2 linked regions of the Astyanax mexicanus genome follow. The protein of the gene in region 1 purifies or fractionates together with the protein of each later gene. This does not show direct contact. Links are inferred from orthologs where the notes say so. Each region holds a gene or a part of one and is shown in the gene's direction. Other genes may lie near its edges.

Region 1 (7,039 bases):
TAAACTTTCCTTTAAGCTAAGACATCAGCCAATTTCAGTCTCCCAGTCCTCTTCTGAGTTGTCAACTACGGGGCTTGGTGTCAAATTCCCCTCCTCACATTCACCTGTTTCCTCTTCATCTTCCTCCTCTTCACCCTCATCAGGTAGTATAATAGCATCTCTGTCAGTATCCAGCTGCACACGCGAGTCGTCCATCAGAGCCTGTCGAAGTCTGTGGATGTTTCCACACAAAGCCTGCACTTTGGGGTCAGTCCACACATGTTGCAGAGGCACAAAAACATGGCTTCTGTGCCTGTATACCACTGTGCTCCCCGCCACAACGTCTGGTGGTAAACTGTGGGCACATGCAGTGAGGTCAGACTGCATGCTTTGCTCACCCAACTCAAATTCCCTTTTCAGGCTCTCTGCCCTGTAGAGGACTTGACAAACCAGAGTCCTCTGGAAGATGTTGTTGTCACACAGGCTCGGGTAAACCACCCTGTAGAGCTAATGGGGATGAACATGAAAGCATTTCTATTAGATACACTTGCTATGTATTGACATTTTATCTGCTATATGAAACCATGTAGGGAACAACCACCATAAAGAGGCCACTTTACCAGTCTGTAAACTGTAGGTTCCATTTGCACAGCGTTGTTCACGGGTCCATTTGATACCCCAGCATCTCTTTGGAAAACAGCAATTTGGGTGCAGAATCCAACATCTCTGTTCTGACCTGGAGCCACTCCTACGCCAGTGAACTCTACTGAGTAACCATATTCCATGCAAACTCCCAGTGCCCTAGTTGTGAGAGAGAGGTGTAATAAAGTTTTCCTGAAACAAAGGAATACTTGCCTCAAAACCATGATGAAAAGTACACTACATATCCAAACACAACTAGTGAATGGTATATATTTTACGATTCACAGAAAAGCTTTGCTTAGCTGCAAACATACAAAGTCCACACAACATTGAACAGGGAAATTTTGTGTTTTCTGAAGAGATTGCATTTCAGCAAATACTTAAGGATGGGTTGGGATGAGTTGGAGTGGATTTAGTCATCCAGACCTATTCATATACATACAGTTGTTTTAAAATAAAAATGTTTGCCACCTTCATGATTTTTTTTGTCTCTCTTACATGTTTCAGATAATAAAACATAAAAGTAACACCACATTTCAGAAAAAGAACACCATACCTACAGTAAAACATGGTGGTGGTAGTGTGATGGTCTGGGGCTGTTTTGCTGCTTTAGGACCTGGAAGACTTGCTGTCATAAATGGAACCATGAATTTTGCTGTCTACCAAAAAATCCTAAAGGAGAATGTCCTGCCGTCTGTTCATGACCTTACACTAAACCAAACTTGGGTTCTCCAGCAGGACAATGATAAAAAAAAAAAAAAACAGTTCAACAAGTCCACTTCTGAATGGCTGAAGAAAAACAAAGTGAAGACCTTGGAGTTGTCTAGTCAAAGTCCTGACCGAAATCTTATTGAGATGCAGTGGCATGATCTTATAAACATGAGCGACAAACATGCAAAACAGTTTTACACAATATCCTAGTGTTAAGGCTATAAATGTTCAAATGAGGGTGTAACTGCAACAAAGTGGGTCTGAATCGCAATGAATTTTCTTGATGTATGTAGAATGACAAAATCTTACCAAGTCTGAAACTCTGCTCGGGTCCACTCAAACTTGTGGTCTTTGTTTCTGAATCCCCTTAATCCCGGGAGCAAAGGATTGAACTCTACATTGGGAGTGCTGATGATCACAGCACAGGGATTCATATATCCAAACACAACATTGGAAAAACCCTCCACTTCCCAAAGCTGGAGGTGTTCAATCCTTTAAGACAAAAAACACAAAAGGAAACAGATGACTGTAGCTGGTGATTATTTCAAAATTGTACCACTCAGAGTACTAAAGCTTATGATAGTATTGTACAGGAAGTCCAGACATACTCACAACTCCATACATGTCACAAGGTCAAAGCCCTGGGTGCATGGCTCCCTTTCTGTGACTGACCCTTGGTAGAGTTCAATGGTCAGAGGCCTGGGACTTGGCTGAAGGTAGTCAATTGTGAGTGGGGCCAATGCATTCCTAAAAAAAAAACACACATGCCCAGAATTTACAATTTAGATTTAATATACTCATATCTAACAGAGGTGCTATTGAATCCAATATTAAAAACAAGAGTTTAAACATTTTTCTTAGAACTTTGAACGTGAAGAAACACTACTACTTATTTGTTGAGAGTTGACAGAAATGTAACGGTTTGATCTGAATTTGAACACATGAGTGCTTACAAAGTGGACCTCCAACCAGTCCTGAAGCCTTCTAGACTGTCCACATTTATGCTCACAACATCTGAAGTTTGAGTAAAAATGTGGAAGAATTTTATTGTGAGCCTTTATGTGTTTTATACATGAAGTTATATGGCGTCAAAATAGGGTCAAAAGTTTTGAAAACCCAGTATAATCCATAACCAAGAAATGTTTAATTTTTCATTCGCCATAAAGCTAATGGTGATGAAGTAACTAATGGCAGTAAGTGTATTTTTTAATACATTACCTTACAAAGCATTGTATGTACTTCTCCTATATTAGTGTGTGTTTGTGTTTGTGTGTGTTAGGCCAAAACCAAAAAAGTTCAGGCATGTTTTAGAATATTCATAATTAATTTTATCACACACTTTCTGACATGTAGATTTGTAAGGTGTTAGCTGTAAATAAATAAAGTGTAAATAAATCTGACTCTACATGTTTCTCTGGGATGGACAAATTCAGATCAAACCACTCTGGATTACGTTTACACCTTTAATTTATATAGAATGGTTTTACAAACCTACAAAATTCCTCTTCAGGGTGGTGAAATGTGTTAATGGCTGGAATTAAAATACTCCCCATATTAAGCCATGATTCAAGCTATAGCTTAATTTAAGAATGTTTTTAATGCATTACTGAACTAGTCCTACAGTCACTCACACTCTCTCTCTGAGGGCAGCGCAGTCGATGTCGACTCCTGCCAGCACTTCTATAGCGTTTCGGTGGAACTTGAGCTTCCTCAGGAGCCCACAGTCAGCACAGCCCAGGTCTATCACCTGTGGAGAGGAGGAGAACCGCGGTCAGACAGCGCTTTGAGCAGCTCAGCGGGTCCTCAGCAGATCAGACATGACTGGGATGAGGGTCGTAACACTGGATATACCTTCCTGGGGATGAACCTCTTAACATACTCGATCACAAACTGGTATCTCTGCAGGTAGAGAGGAGGAGAGAAAAGAGCGGCCATCCTGTCAGAACCGTTTCTGCACATATCAAAGAGAAAAAATAAAGAGTACCCAGACAGAGGAGGATCTGGGCCTTCTACTCTGGACGCAGAGAGCGCCCCCTGTGGTGGACTAATATATACCTCAATTTACCCCTTTTCAGGTTCAGCCAGTAACTGAAATAAAAACTGTGTAACTTGCAGTAATTTATTAGGGCTTTTAAGAAACACAAATGAACAAAAAACTGAAATAAATACACTTTAGCATTTTGGTTAATATACTGTAAAAGTGTATTATGAAAAAGCCTCTTATTCCTTTTTATTATTATTATTTCCAATTTATTGATTAACAGTAGCAATGGAAATAAACTTAGCTTTAGAAATATATTTTTAATAAGAATTTCCACAGCATTTATTTGCAGTAATGAATACCGATACAGATAGCTCTGTAACTATTAAAAATAAATTGGGGAACTATTAGTAAGAAATTGGAGAAAACTGGTACAGTAGGAGGTCAGGCTGACCCACATGGCAATGCCTTTAGCTCAGCTTAACACTGGACTCTTAGATCTCATTACCAGTAGTGAAGAGAAGAATTAGACGCCTGAAGTGCAGTAATTCACGTTATTGCTTTAAAGATGAGAAAATAAAAAAGCATATTGTCTGGGACATTCAGCACTGACACTGGACAACTAAAAACCTGAAAATCTATATAAAGTGGTGTTCTAAAACTTTTTGACTTTAGTATATATAAATATACTAGGATATTCAACAGATTTTTGATCACACTTTTTCAATTCATTGTTTTAGATGTAGGAAAATACACACAGCATCATATATAGCTATCAATTATGTAAACAAATGATTATTTTACAGTTTTATGGCAGTCAAAACCGTACAAGAAACGTGTATAAAACTTTCATTTATCTGTTTTTTTTCTTCAGCCTTACAAGCAATTTTTATATTACAGGTTTTATAAAGTAAAGAAAATATATAAAGTACCCATTTTTACCGCCTAGCGGTTATGAATACATTTTATTCTTCTTATTTTCAGTGCTTTTAATTTGTAATTATCATAAAGGCTTCTCTGATACCATGTGCCTGTATTTTGACATGCTGTGCGTGTGCCTCAGACTAAAATGAGCATGCGCAGAAGAGCATGGCAGCATTGTGAGCTGTGATTGGTTGGTGTCTTTCAATCAGTGAGCTGCTTTTAGATGATGTGGCCCTGTGTGCTGCTCTGTGGTTCTTCTCCGTGGTGTAGAGCAGCTGCTGGAGCTGTAGTTCATGTTAAAGTCTTCAAAAACACTCTCTGCTCTCTGCTCTGACTCGGTGTCTGTCTCTCTGGAGAATGCCTTATTACCAGACGTGGGAGGAGTTCGCCCGGGCGGCGGAGAAGCTCTATTTAACCGACCCGATGAAGGTAAAACCGAGCCGATCTGCTCACCTAGCCTAACCTAGCTTAGCATAATTTAGCTTAAATTAACTTAACTAGCCAGGGACCAGCTGTCTTGTGTTGTATTTCATTTAAAGTTCTTTTACAGTTTCAGTATTTAGTACAGAATGGGGGAGATTACAGTCTCTATCTGTTTGTGAACATGTTCTATACCGCTGTATTTGGTAAAGGAGTCCATGTGTAGCTGTAGCAGAGCTACTAATCCATACAGCTCTATGCCTTATTCTGAGTCTTAGTCTCAGTCTATTCAAAGTCTTTTTAATAGCATGTGTTCTCTCCAAACATGTTTAAGGTCAATAAATGTGTTCTAAAAATTTCGCATAATCGCACAAATTATGATTTAGTCGCTGTTTTAATTATACAGAATAGTGTAAAAGATTTTAGTGAAAATACATATATGAGAATTATACATAATAAAATGAAAACACATGACTACAATTCAGAACTAAGCATAAGCGGTAATGGGTTAAAAAAAGGGAATAACTGTACATAGATTCCTGCTGGAAAATTTAGAATAAAGTTATGCAACGTGTATAAAAAATAAGATTATTATTGAGCCCTCAGTAACACATTCGAAAAAAAGAGCGTTTCATGCTTTCTGTTGCTATACAACAGACATGGTCTTATTTAAATAAATTGAATTGAGTTTGTCCAGTTCATCTAACCTAGCTTTTCTTACACAGATTCTAGCTTTTCTTTTTAATGTCTTTTTTACTGTGTAATGCTTGATTCTTTTATTAACTTTTGTATTTGCCCATTGTCTTTCTTTCTAGGTCAGAGTTGTGCTTAAATACAGACACTGTGATGGAAATCTGTGTATGAAAGTCACTGATAATGCTGTGGTAAGTTTAAGCTCTAGAACACTAATTAATAAATAGAACATTAATGAAATTTCTTATGTGTGTTGATTTAATCACTGTGGCTCATTTCTGGTTTCAGTGTTTGCAGTATAAGACTGATCAGGCGCAAGATGTAAAGAAGATTGAGAAGCTGCATGGGAAACTGATGAGATTAATGGTTTCCAAGGAGTCCCACAGTGGTGCAATGGAAACGGACTGAGTAATCTTTTGGGACTTTTAATTTTTGGATAGCAGTATGTATCTGCTCTGCTGACATTATTTGAAGATCATGGAATTTAAGAGCCCTGTTTTTGGAGTATGACAACTGGGAGGGTAGAGGAAACCGATGTCCTCAGCTGCATTCAGCGATCTCCTCATCCTGATATTTATTTTCTGGTCCCGGTTGGACTTATTATTAGGCAGTGATCTTGTATTATACATTGCTGGGTGACCAGTTTTTTTTCTGATTCTAGGTCACACAGAGCTTGATTAGCTTATACCTGGAAACAGCAACTTTTCAGTTATTTTGGAAGAGTCTTGTTTGTGTTTACTAGCTCCATTCCTGGGGGCACAAATGCACTGCATGATTGTTTGTTCCTGCTTTGAAACAAAATGCTAAATGCAGCTTATAAAGAAGTTGACCATTTTTAAGTTATATGACACTCAGGCAGGAAAACATATCTTGCAGGTGGAGTACAGGACTGGAGCTGGGTCTTTTAGTGATTATGTTACCAGTATGTTGGGGCTGCCAGCAAATACACAAACCTGAACCTTCTGAGAGGTCCTGAAAACTAGTGTCAGAACCACTGATTTGTACTTACTCACTGGACCTTTACTTTCACCCAAGTCTTCTGTTAATGGTGCATACATCTGGAATAAATTTCTTTCTTTTTTGAGATCTGAGACTTTTCTTAAGTTACTGTTTTCCTGCAGAGGTTCTGTTTGTTAAAACTGGTTTGATTTAAGTGTAATGATAAAGCAATAATTTAGCAGACTTCCAATCAGTCAACACAATGAAAATTAATGAGAAATTTGAGTGTTCACGTCCTGGTATTACAACCCTCTGGTATTCTGTTTTAAGTAAATTAAGATAGCTTGACATTAATGTTTGGCATTTTATACCAGTTTACAGATCACCTTCATTGTCTTACTACAGGTACATTGTCCTGCTTAATAGGAGCTAACTTGATTTAGTTGAGTCCTGTAGCTGGGAGAAGTGCAAAGCATTAGTGTCTACCTCATAGTCATTGTCGGTAACTCTTACAAAAGAGGGGGAAAAAATAATAATAATATGAAAACTTTATGATTTTTAAACATTTTAATTAGTCCATTAATTAAGAAACTGCTTGATTGACACGTTTGACACTGTAACAGTTTGGATAAAAAATTGTTTGTGTGACTCCAACAATTTATTAAATGTAAGTTTGCATAAATTCACAAAAATGTTTTTTGCAGCTTTGCCTCTGTATATATTGGATGTGTTTTGAATATCTTCAGAAAA
Region 2 (8,032 bases), on another chromosome or scaffold:
AGAAGTAGAAGTAATGTCCAGCAGTAGGCTGTTCCATAGTTTAATTGCTGACCACCCTTAAGCTTTAGCTGAGACCAAGAAACAGCCAAGAGCAACTGATCTAAAGATCCTCAAAGACGTGCAATGGGAAAGAGGTTCTAGTGACTTAGTAATTTAAGATCGTGCAAGCCAATGCAGTGCCCTAAAAACAAATAAAAGAACTTTACAATTGGACCCGGTAGTGAACAGGGATTAGGCCTAGTCCTAGACTACATTTTCCTTTCAATCAAAGACTATATTTTCTGACACATGTATTTAATTAAGGGCATTAGCTTTTGTCCCACTTGGACACTTTTATAGTAACTGAGGCAGAAGATATTATTTAAATACTAAAAGGAGCCAACATGTCATTGTCACTACCAATGAATATTAAACCATAACATTGTACGTATGTTTCTACAGTAGTTACCAACATTATTATTGTTCCTTTATGCATGGCTGGGTGTGGTTATCTACAAAAGAAACCTGCAGGTACTGAAACTTATTAGTACTTTTTAGTTCATTGAGAAAAATATAACAATTGATGGACTGACTGTTTTCAACATATCCATGAAATGTTTATTCATCATTTGTGTAACTCTTGTTTTTGCCAGGTCCTTTAACAATCATGGTTTGTTTTGACCATTTGCAAATTCAAACACATCCCATTTTTATTGTATATTTTTTCCTCTGATGTCCAGTCCTGACATCTATGTGGATCCACATATAAAAATAAGTAATTCCTTTTAATAATTATTTAAATTATTTTAATAATAATAAAAAAAATATTATTATCATAATTATGTTTCACAATGAAGTAAATTTATTTGTAAGCAGGTGTCTTTAAGACCAACAAGTCAAATAAGGCATGGTTCTTTGGCAAAATCTTACATCCAGGGAGTCCGTATTGAGTCTGTTGTGTCTGTGTTCTAGGTCATAGCACCCTGTAGAGATGTATTTGTTTGAGGAAATCTAGTTCTGTGTCACTTTGCAGATAAGCACTGTAATCAAGCAGCACTTCCTCTAACCAGTGTCCAATTTCTGTTAGTCCCTAAAACACAGAAAACACAAAATCAGCAGAATACAAAAATATTAAATAACCTTACCACACCTTAAACTGCCTACATTAAGCATTTTCCTTGCTCTCAGGTTTGTCAGTTTATTCTTTGTTGACATTTATAGTGTTAGATACAGCACAGTGCATTAGACCAATAAATCACATTAGTCTATTATACCATTACATCACTCTGGACTAAGGCATCTTCCAAAAGCCATATTTGCATATGCAATTTATGTGTAAATCTATTTTTTTTAACCTCATACCTAAAGGTTTTACAATTATGAAGACATTCTTTAATAGGCAAAAAATATATATGCTCACGTTGGATGCTTGTAGCGAGATGAGGGCTTCTTGAATGCTGGGAACAGTTACCAACAGTGCACCCTTTTTCAGAAAATTTTGGCTAATAAAGTTCCAGGCTCTGTTTAAAACAAGTGAAGAAATTATGATGAGTAAAAACTGAAGATGAATGAGTAAAAACAGTTGACAAATATGTACACTTTCAGTGGTTACAAATCCTTATAATAAATGACCTTGTCTGAGGTCAGTAAAGCCTGCAGTTTTTATGAGCATATCTGGAATCTTTTGTCACTTCCTGGAAGACTTTCTGTTGCTGGAGGAATTTTGGTAGGCCAACCAGTATGTATAGTTTATAAATGTAGTGAATTGGTTGACTGAGTAAGGAAAATTCCACTTCTCGTGTGTGAATTGCAGGCTAAAGATCTGAAGATCAAACCTAAAGCCAAACATTTCCTGGAGGAGCGTTAAGCAAACTGCCATCAAATACATTTGGTGAACTGTAGTGGCATTTATAATTCAGAATTAATCACCCAAGACCCAGACCTGTTTTGATGCTCTTTTGTGTTTTGAATGCATTGTCAACAAAAAAAATCCTTCCTGGACTGTTACTGACATAACAGAAATGTAAATGCCAGAGAAAACATTTGAATGTATTGTACATCATACTCATGACAACATCCTAAGTTTATAGCAATGGATGTAATCAACAGTTTTATTATGAACCTGACTGTATTCATTCATTTAAAACGACAAACCAAAAAACAAGAGCTATTATTGTAGGATTTCAAATAAAATGTATTGTATTTATATCTAACAAGTCAAGACATGAACTATTAACAATACAAATTAACGTTTATTTGACTGCACTAACTGAAATAAGTGTACAAATAACTGACTTACTTTGCTTGGTCTTTGGGTTCCATAAAATACTCAAACACATTATTCATAATCAGCACATCTGCATTTTGCACTAAGGCAGCCTGTGTGCAGATATCAGCATGAATCACCTGAGGAAGGCACACAGAAATAGCAAATCATGGTACAGCATGTCAAGGTAAGTGTAGCAGTGACAATGGTAGAACTGGTGTAAAAAGGTGCACTACCTGAATTCTGTCACCGAAAGCGTACTTTTCCACAACCATTGTCTGAAGCTTGACAAACTCTTCACTCATTTCTACACCAACAAGCCGTGCTGCTGAACTGTAGAGGTATCCCTATTAAAAAGGAGATGATCCGTTTAATGTGTACTTTAATTACTAAGTGAATAAAGGTGTTAAAAGGGCCTTATATCTACAAGATAGCAGCATTATTCTTGTTTAACTGAATGTAGTGCTGTGTGACAGTATACTCAATGTTTTTTAATGTGGCAATAGACTGTGGTGCATATGTGACAAAACGTTTTGGATTACTCTACCCCATAGAGCACTGTTCCCAGCCTCGAACCCACATCCATAACCAGTCTTCCAGTCAGGTCAGGGAGAACATGATGAAACAAAAACCGGAGCTCCGACACAGAAAATGAATGTGAGATGAACTCTGTAGGACATAGCAAACTGAGTTTAAAAACATTTCTACCACATTTATCAAATATGACTGAGTTAAAAATAATAGAAATGTTGTTTACCCAGGGGAGCTGTGCTATGCGATCCGCAGTTGAGACAGTAGTTGCGACTCATTTTTCTCTCCTCACAGAGAGAATCTACTGTTTCCTCATCATACAGAAATGCATCCACATGCACTGTTGGTTTAGAGGTCTGCTGGGTCTGCAATGAAAATGGAAATCAGATGTCATGACAGTTTACTTATCATATTAAAGGCAATAAAAGTATTAACATGACGATAGTCACAGAATGAAAATGAGGACCTTCTGAATGGCCATGGTCTCTGAAGGAAACATAGCCTCCAAGGGGAGACAAGGCCTGAGGTCCTCTGCAATACTCATCAGTATGGCCTTTTGATTGTCAACCAATAAGTCATCAAGATCATCTGAAACAGAAGTTACAGTATATGGGTATAGATTAACTGCACTGTATCCAGCCTTATTTGTTACATGCAAACATATAAATTAAAATGAATAGCACTGGACACAATCCTACTTAATGGAAAAAAAAATAATAATAAATAGGTAATCTTATGCTGCAACATGTAAAATTACTCAATAGTAGACACTTTAGGGTCTCAGCTGTAAGACAAGGAGCATACTAGTAATATATATTGCAAGCTGTCTACAAATTAGTCTAGAAATAACACCAGCGACACAATCATAGCTCTGTTTCTCTAGTTAAAACTTAAATTACAGATGACTGTGATGCCTTTAGATTATAGATACCAGCTATGCAATTATTACTAGCAATAATGTCATATCTGAGATATATGAAGATTAGTCATATGACCAGGATGATATATCCATACAGCACTGTCTACTGCACTGTTTTATACCCTTTGTATGTTTATTCATTCTCTTGTTTTTTATGAGTGTATTTTGCTGCTGTCTTTGTGTATTGTTGCTGCTGAGATCAAAAGTATCTATCTATCTATCTATCTATCTATCTATCTATCTATCTATCTGTAATTACATTTTTAAATTGCTGTATGTTACCATTGATATATCTAGAATTTTACTCTCTTTTAAGCAATAATTATATATTTCTAGTACAAACTCCAGTAACAGATATCTATAATTAATTTCTAAAAAAACATACATTCAATAACACTGATATCAATATTGACGTAAAAAATCCCAATTATGGATATCTATAATTATATCACAGATCACATAGCCTACACCTATATTACTACTAGTGCAAACTACGTCAGATATGAATTAGCCCTGGTATTATGACTAGCCACATCTGATAAACATGTCACAGCTGATCTGATCTGATAAAGTTTTCATTACAGAGACCCATAATTTATAACTTGCATCATTGGTGTCATTTCAGACTAAAGTACTTGCCATAAACTTAAAGAAGAGTTTAGTTAGGTTAGCTAAGCTAGGTTAACTAGTTTTCTGTGACATACTATACATTAAATAATTACCAGAATTTTTCAACCAATCGATTATTTTAGCGAGCTCCTGCGGATCCGTTCTGCCTAATGTCTGAAGAATTTCATTCTTAGCCTCGTTAAAGTTCATTTTCCTTCACAGATCAGAGGTTTAGCTAAGAAATAACGTTACATGCAGCGGTAGCAGTGACTGGAGGAACACGTGAATCCACAACACCTCAGTCTAGGGGAGGAGCCAAATATGCCCTTAGTATTTTTAAGGTGGATCTTCATATATAGCGGAGTCACATTATTTAGTAATAATACAACTCGTTTGCGCTTAAAAAAAGGGTAAATATGTTAAATTACTTATCAAAAATAATATTTATTTTAGATAACCCACTATTAACAATGTAAAAGAACCGAGAGGACACACATCAAATATATTGTAGTATTTTTCCTGAAGCAAATCCACCTTAAGAGCGAATGTGCGCTGAACGGTTTCGATGGCTTTTGATATTGATTAAACAGCGAAAGAGGGGGTCGTTTAATCTTGTTTTTTCCGTCGATTTTTTCACTTCGAGTATGAGTATGAGTACAATAATAGCTAACGCTCTATAGTTAGCTAGCTAATTTTCGCTGTAGCGAATACACTAGCAGCCACTGATTCTAGGTCAGTTTTGTTTTCCTGTCTCTCTACACTCGTTTCTAGCTGAACAGGCTGAACGAATAATAACTGACTCCAGATCAGCGCACTGAGTCCCAGCGTTACCTCGGAAGTAGAAAGGGTTTATGGGAGTTTTGTGTGTTAGCTGACGTCTGCCTGCTTTCTACTGAACCAGCTGTGTCGAAGGGAGCTAAGGTAAGAAGCTAACCCTCTAATAATAATATTAACATTAATAACCATATAAACACACACTTATATCTTCAACGAGACAGTGACGCTGTAGGTATCTGTGTTTTACATGGATCTGTACAGGAGATTAGGGCTGTCCTGTGTTTTGGACCGGTCTTGGCGAGTCCAGGATACTGTGGCTAGTTAGCTAGCAAACGCTAACGCTAAAGCTAACTAGCCGTAGAAAATAACATCCAACCATATACATGTAGTTAACTGCTAAGCTAGTTAGTAAGCTAGCTAGCTAACCACGGTATCTTAAGTTACTATACACTAAAATATTAGCTAAGTGTGTTACTCGCATTATTTCACTTTACCTCATCCAAATATCATGTATTTAACTAGTTAACCTAACTAGCGTACAAATCACACAAAACTATCATTAGCCATCTGTGATTGCAGTCAGCGGTAGATGAAAAGCAACAACAAAAATCACCTGGCCAATTCAAAGTGGTTAGGCTGGCTGATCAGAACTGGATATTTCTGTTTAGATCTTATACAAGCATGATCAACCTGACAAACAGTTAATATGACCAAGCTTAAACAAGCTGGTTGACTAAAATTAACACTAACCTAGCTTTTAAGATGGTTAATCATAACAGCACCTCCAAGCTGATCCAACAACATGTCCAGCAAGACCAAGCATGGCCAAAGTAGCCAAATGCAATAAAAAACAACCTACACATTGCTGGCCAAGTGCTAGTTAACCAACTAGCCTAGTATGTTTTAATCTTAGACCGTCAAGTCAGTTGTGTACAGGTAAATTGTGCGGTGAAATTACGTTCCTCCTGGACATTGGTGTAACATGGGACAAACAATACAACATAGACAACAAAATGCAAACGTGCAACAAAATGTGCAACATATACCTAAAACAATACAATAAATACAGAAGACACAAAAACCACAGTACACATTTAAAAGTTGAGGTGAAGTAAGGTGTAACATGCTATAACATATAGGTCATACATGATTTAAACTAGCTAATAAGTTCAGCGTTCAGTCACCTCAATCTTGCTCGCCTCAAACAGCTGTTTATTTACTGAAAATAAGAGAAGTTTGATAAAAGCCCTAACTTAGATGTTTCTGACACTGGTTCTTTTATTTTTTCATGTTTAAAAATATTGACTTAAAATATTAAGGAGGAATTAGAATGAGGTTCTTTTCATTTGCATGCAGCATTGTTTTGTCACACACAACACTTTTCAATTAAATAAAGAAGTACTATATTGGATTAATTTCCAATTGCCTTCTAGATTGTCTATATGAATTTTGGAAAGTAGCAAAAAAAGTGTTAATGTTGAAAATTTTGCTCAATAAATAAATATAACTTTTTTGCTCTTTGTGTAATTGGGTAACCTTTTTGCCTACTTCCAGGACAAAAAACAAGGCTATATTTATACATGCATACAGTGGCTTTAGTATCAGAGTGACCGAGTGACAAAAAATATTATTATTTTAAGATTACTGAAGGATGTACTACAAAGTACAAAATGTGTATAATAAGACTATACTAAACATTTGCATTTTATATATATCTGTTCATTGTTTATTTATCATGTTTATGTTTATGTTATCAAAGTGCTACATTTTATTATATTTTGAGGGTACCAAATGCACTTATTTAAAGCAACAGTTATCAGGCCTACAGTCTAATTAAAGCTTATGTTTTAATATTGGTACCACTCAAAATGACTTTTTTTTTTTTTTTTTTTTTTTCTAGAACAGACGGCAACATTGCAACTCATTTGCTGGATTAATCGGGTCATTCGCACCCACACACACACAACTACAGAAGAAGAAGAACTCTGAACGGGGGAATCCCCCACCTTAGCGAGGAGGTTGCCTTTGTCTAACACGTATGGAAATATCTGATGTATATTTATAACTATACCCACTGTCAGTAAGTGCAGAAAATCAGCATCCTATGTCTTCCATCATGTTACAGGTCGCCTCTTCCTAAACTGCAAACATGGTGTTAGCTGACTTGGGGAGGAAAATCACCTCCGCGCTGAGATCTCTCAGCAATGCCACCATCATCAACGAGGAGGTAACTGTTCTCCAACATATTAACATATTTCTGTGTCTATAAAATCTGCTTTAGATCTAGAAATGTCTGTATTTACTGTTCACATTTATCATCTTAAATAAATCTTCCTTAGGTTTTGAATGCTATGCTTAAAGAAGTATGTGCAGCCTTACTGGAAGCTGATGTCAACATCAAATTGGTAAAACAGCTGAGGGAGAATGTCAAGTAAGTTTAATATCTTTAATTTTGTGTAAAAATGATGACTGCCTTCTTCATCAGTGAAAATGCTTAGTCATATTTTCCTGTTCTCAGGGCAGCCATTGATCTTGAGGAGATGGCCTCTGGGCTGAATAAGAGAAGAATGATCCAGCATGCTGTTTTCAAGGAGCTTGTCAAGGTTTGTGCCATTTTAGAGCAGACTAGCCTATGTTTTGGACGTGCATGACTCTGTAGTTAATGTCTTTGCATTATGTAAGTTTTAAAATAGTGTTGCATTACGTAAACATTTTATTTACATGGTCACATTGCCCTTTGCGCCCCAAAAAAATAAAAACAACACAAACTCTGATAACAATCATCATTTATGTTATCAAAGTGAATCGGTCTATATTAGGGCTTAACAGGGGAATGCCATGTTGCATTTTGTTATGTTTAGTATTGTGACATTTTCTAAACTCAAGGAAGTGGTTAGTGTATACTCTTCTAGGCTTGAACACTGAACATAGTGGCCCAGACTGTCGTTGTA

The links. Proteins that work in one complex are often made in the same cells at the same time.
Region 2: the proteins of srp9 (region 1) and srp54 purify together in Homo sapiens (co-immunoprecipitation; 4 studies listed by BioGRID and IntAct, counting the BioPlex papers as one, with this or other methods). This does not show direct contact. The link is inferred for Astyanax mexicanus from reciprocal best matches to the Homo sapiens genes SRP9 and SRP54.

The regions. Positions count from the first base shown.
Region 1 is NC_064408.1:58,149,200-58,156,238, reverse strand, and holds srp9 (signal recognition particle 9 kDa protein), read left to right. Parts: upstream 1-4,448; 5' UTR 4,449-4,594; coding exon 4,595-4,666; intron 4,667-5,472; coding exon 5,473-5,541; intron 5,542-5,638; coding exon 5,639-5,758; 3' UTR 5,759-6,434; downstream 6,435-7,039. Other genes in the region: henmt1 (small RNA 2'-O-methyltransferase), read right to left, coding at 25-486, 600-780, 1,642-1,824, 1,945-2,079, 2,964-3,079, 3,184-3,291. UniProt on the Homo sapiens protein: Component of the signal recognition particle (SRP) complex, a ribonucleoprotein complex that mediates the cotranslational targeting of secretory and membrane proteins to the endoplasmic reticulum (ER).
Region 2 is NC_064421.1:19,054,761-19,062,792, reverse strand, and holds the start of srp54 (signal recognition particle 54 kDa protein), read left to right. Parts: upstream 1-4,975; 5' UTR 4,976-5,225; intron 5,226-6,981; exon of another isoform or gene 6,982-6,986; 5' UTR 6,987-7,117; intron 7,118-7,206; 5' UTR 7,207-7,230; coding exon 7,231-7,308; intron 7,309-7,420; coding exon 7,421-7,512; intron 7,513-7,599; coding exon 7,600-7,684; intron 7,685-8,032. Other genes in the region: uncharacterized protein zgc:109986, read right to left, coding at 953-1,069, 1,400-1,499, 2,279-2,385, 2,482-2,592, 2,793-2,914, 3,003-3,141, 3,243-3,364, 4,418-4,514. UniProt on the Homo sapiens protein: Component of the signal recognition particle (SRP) complex, a ribonucleoprotein complex that mediates the cotranslational targeting of secretory and membrane proteins to the endoplasmic reticulum (ER).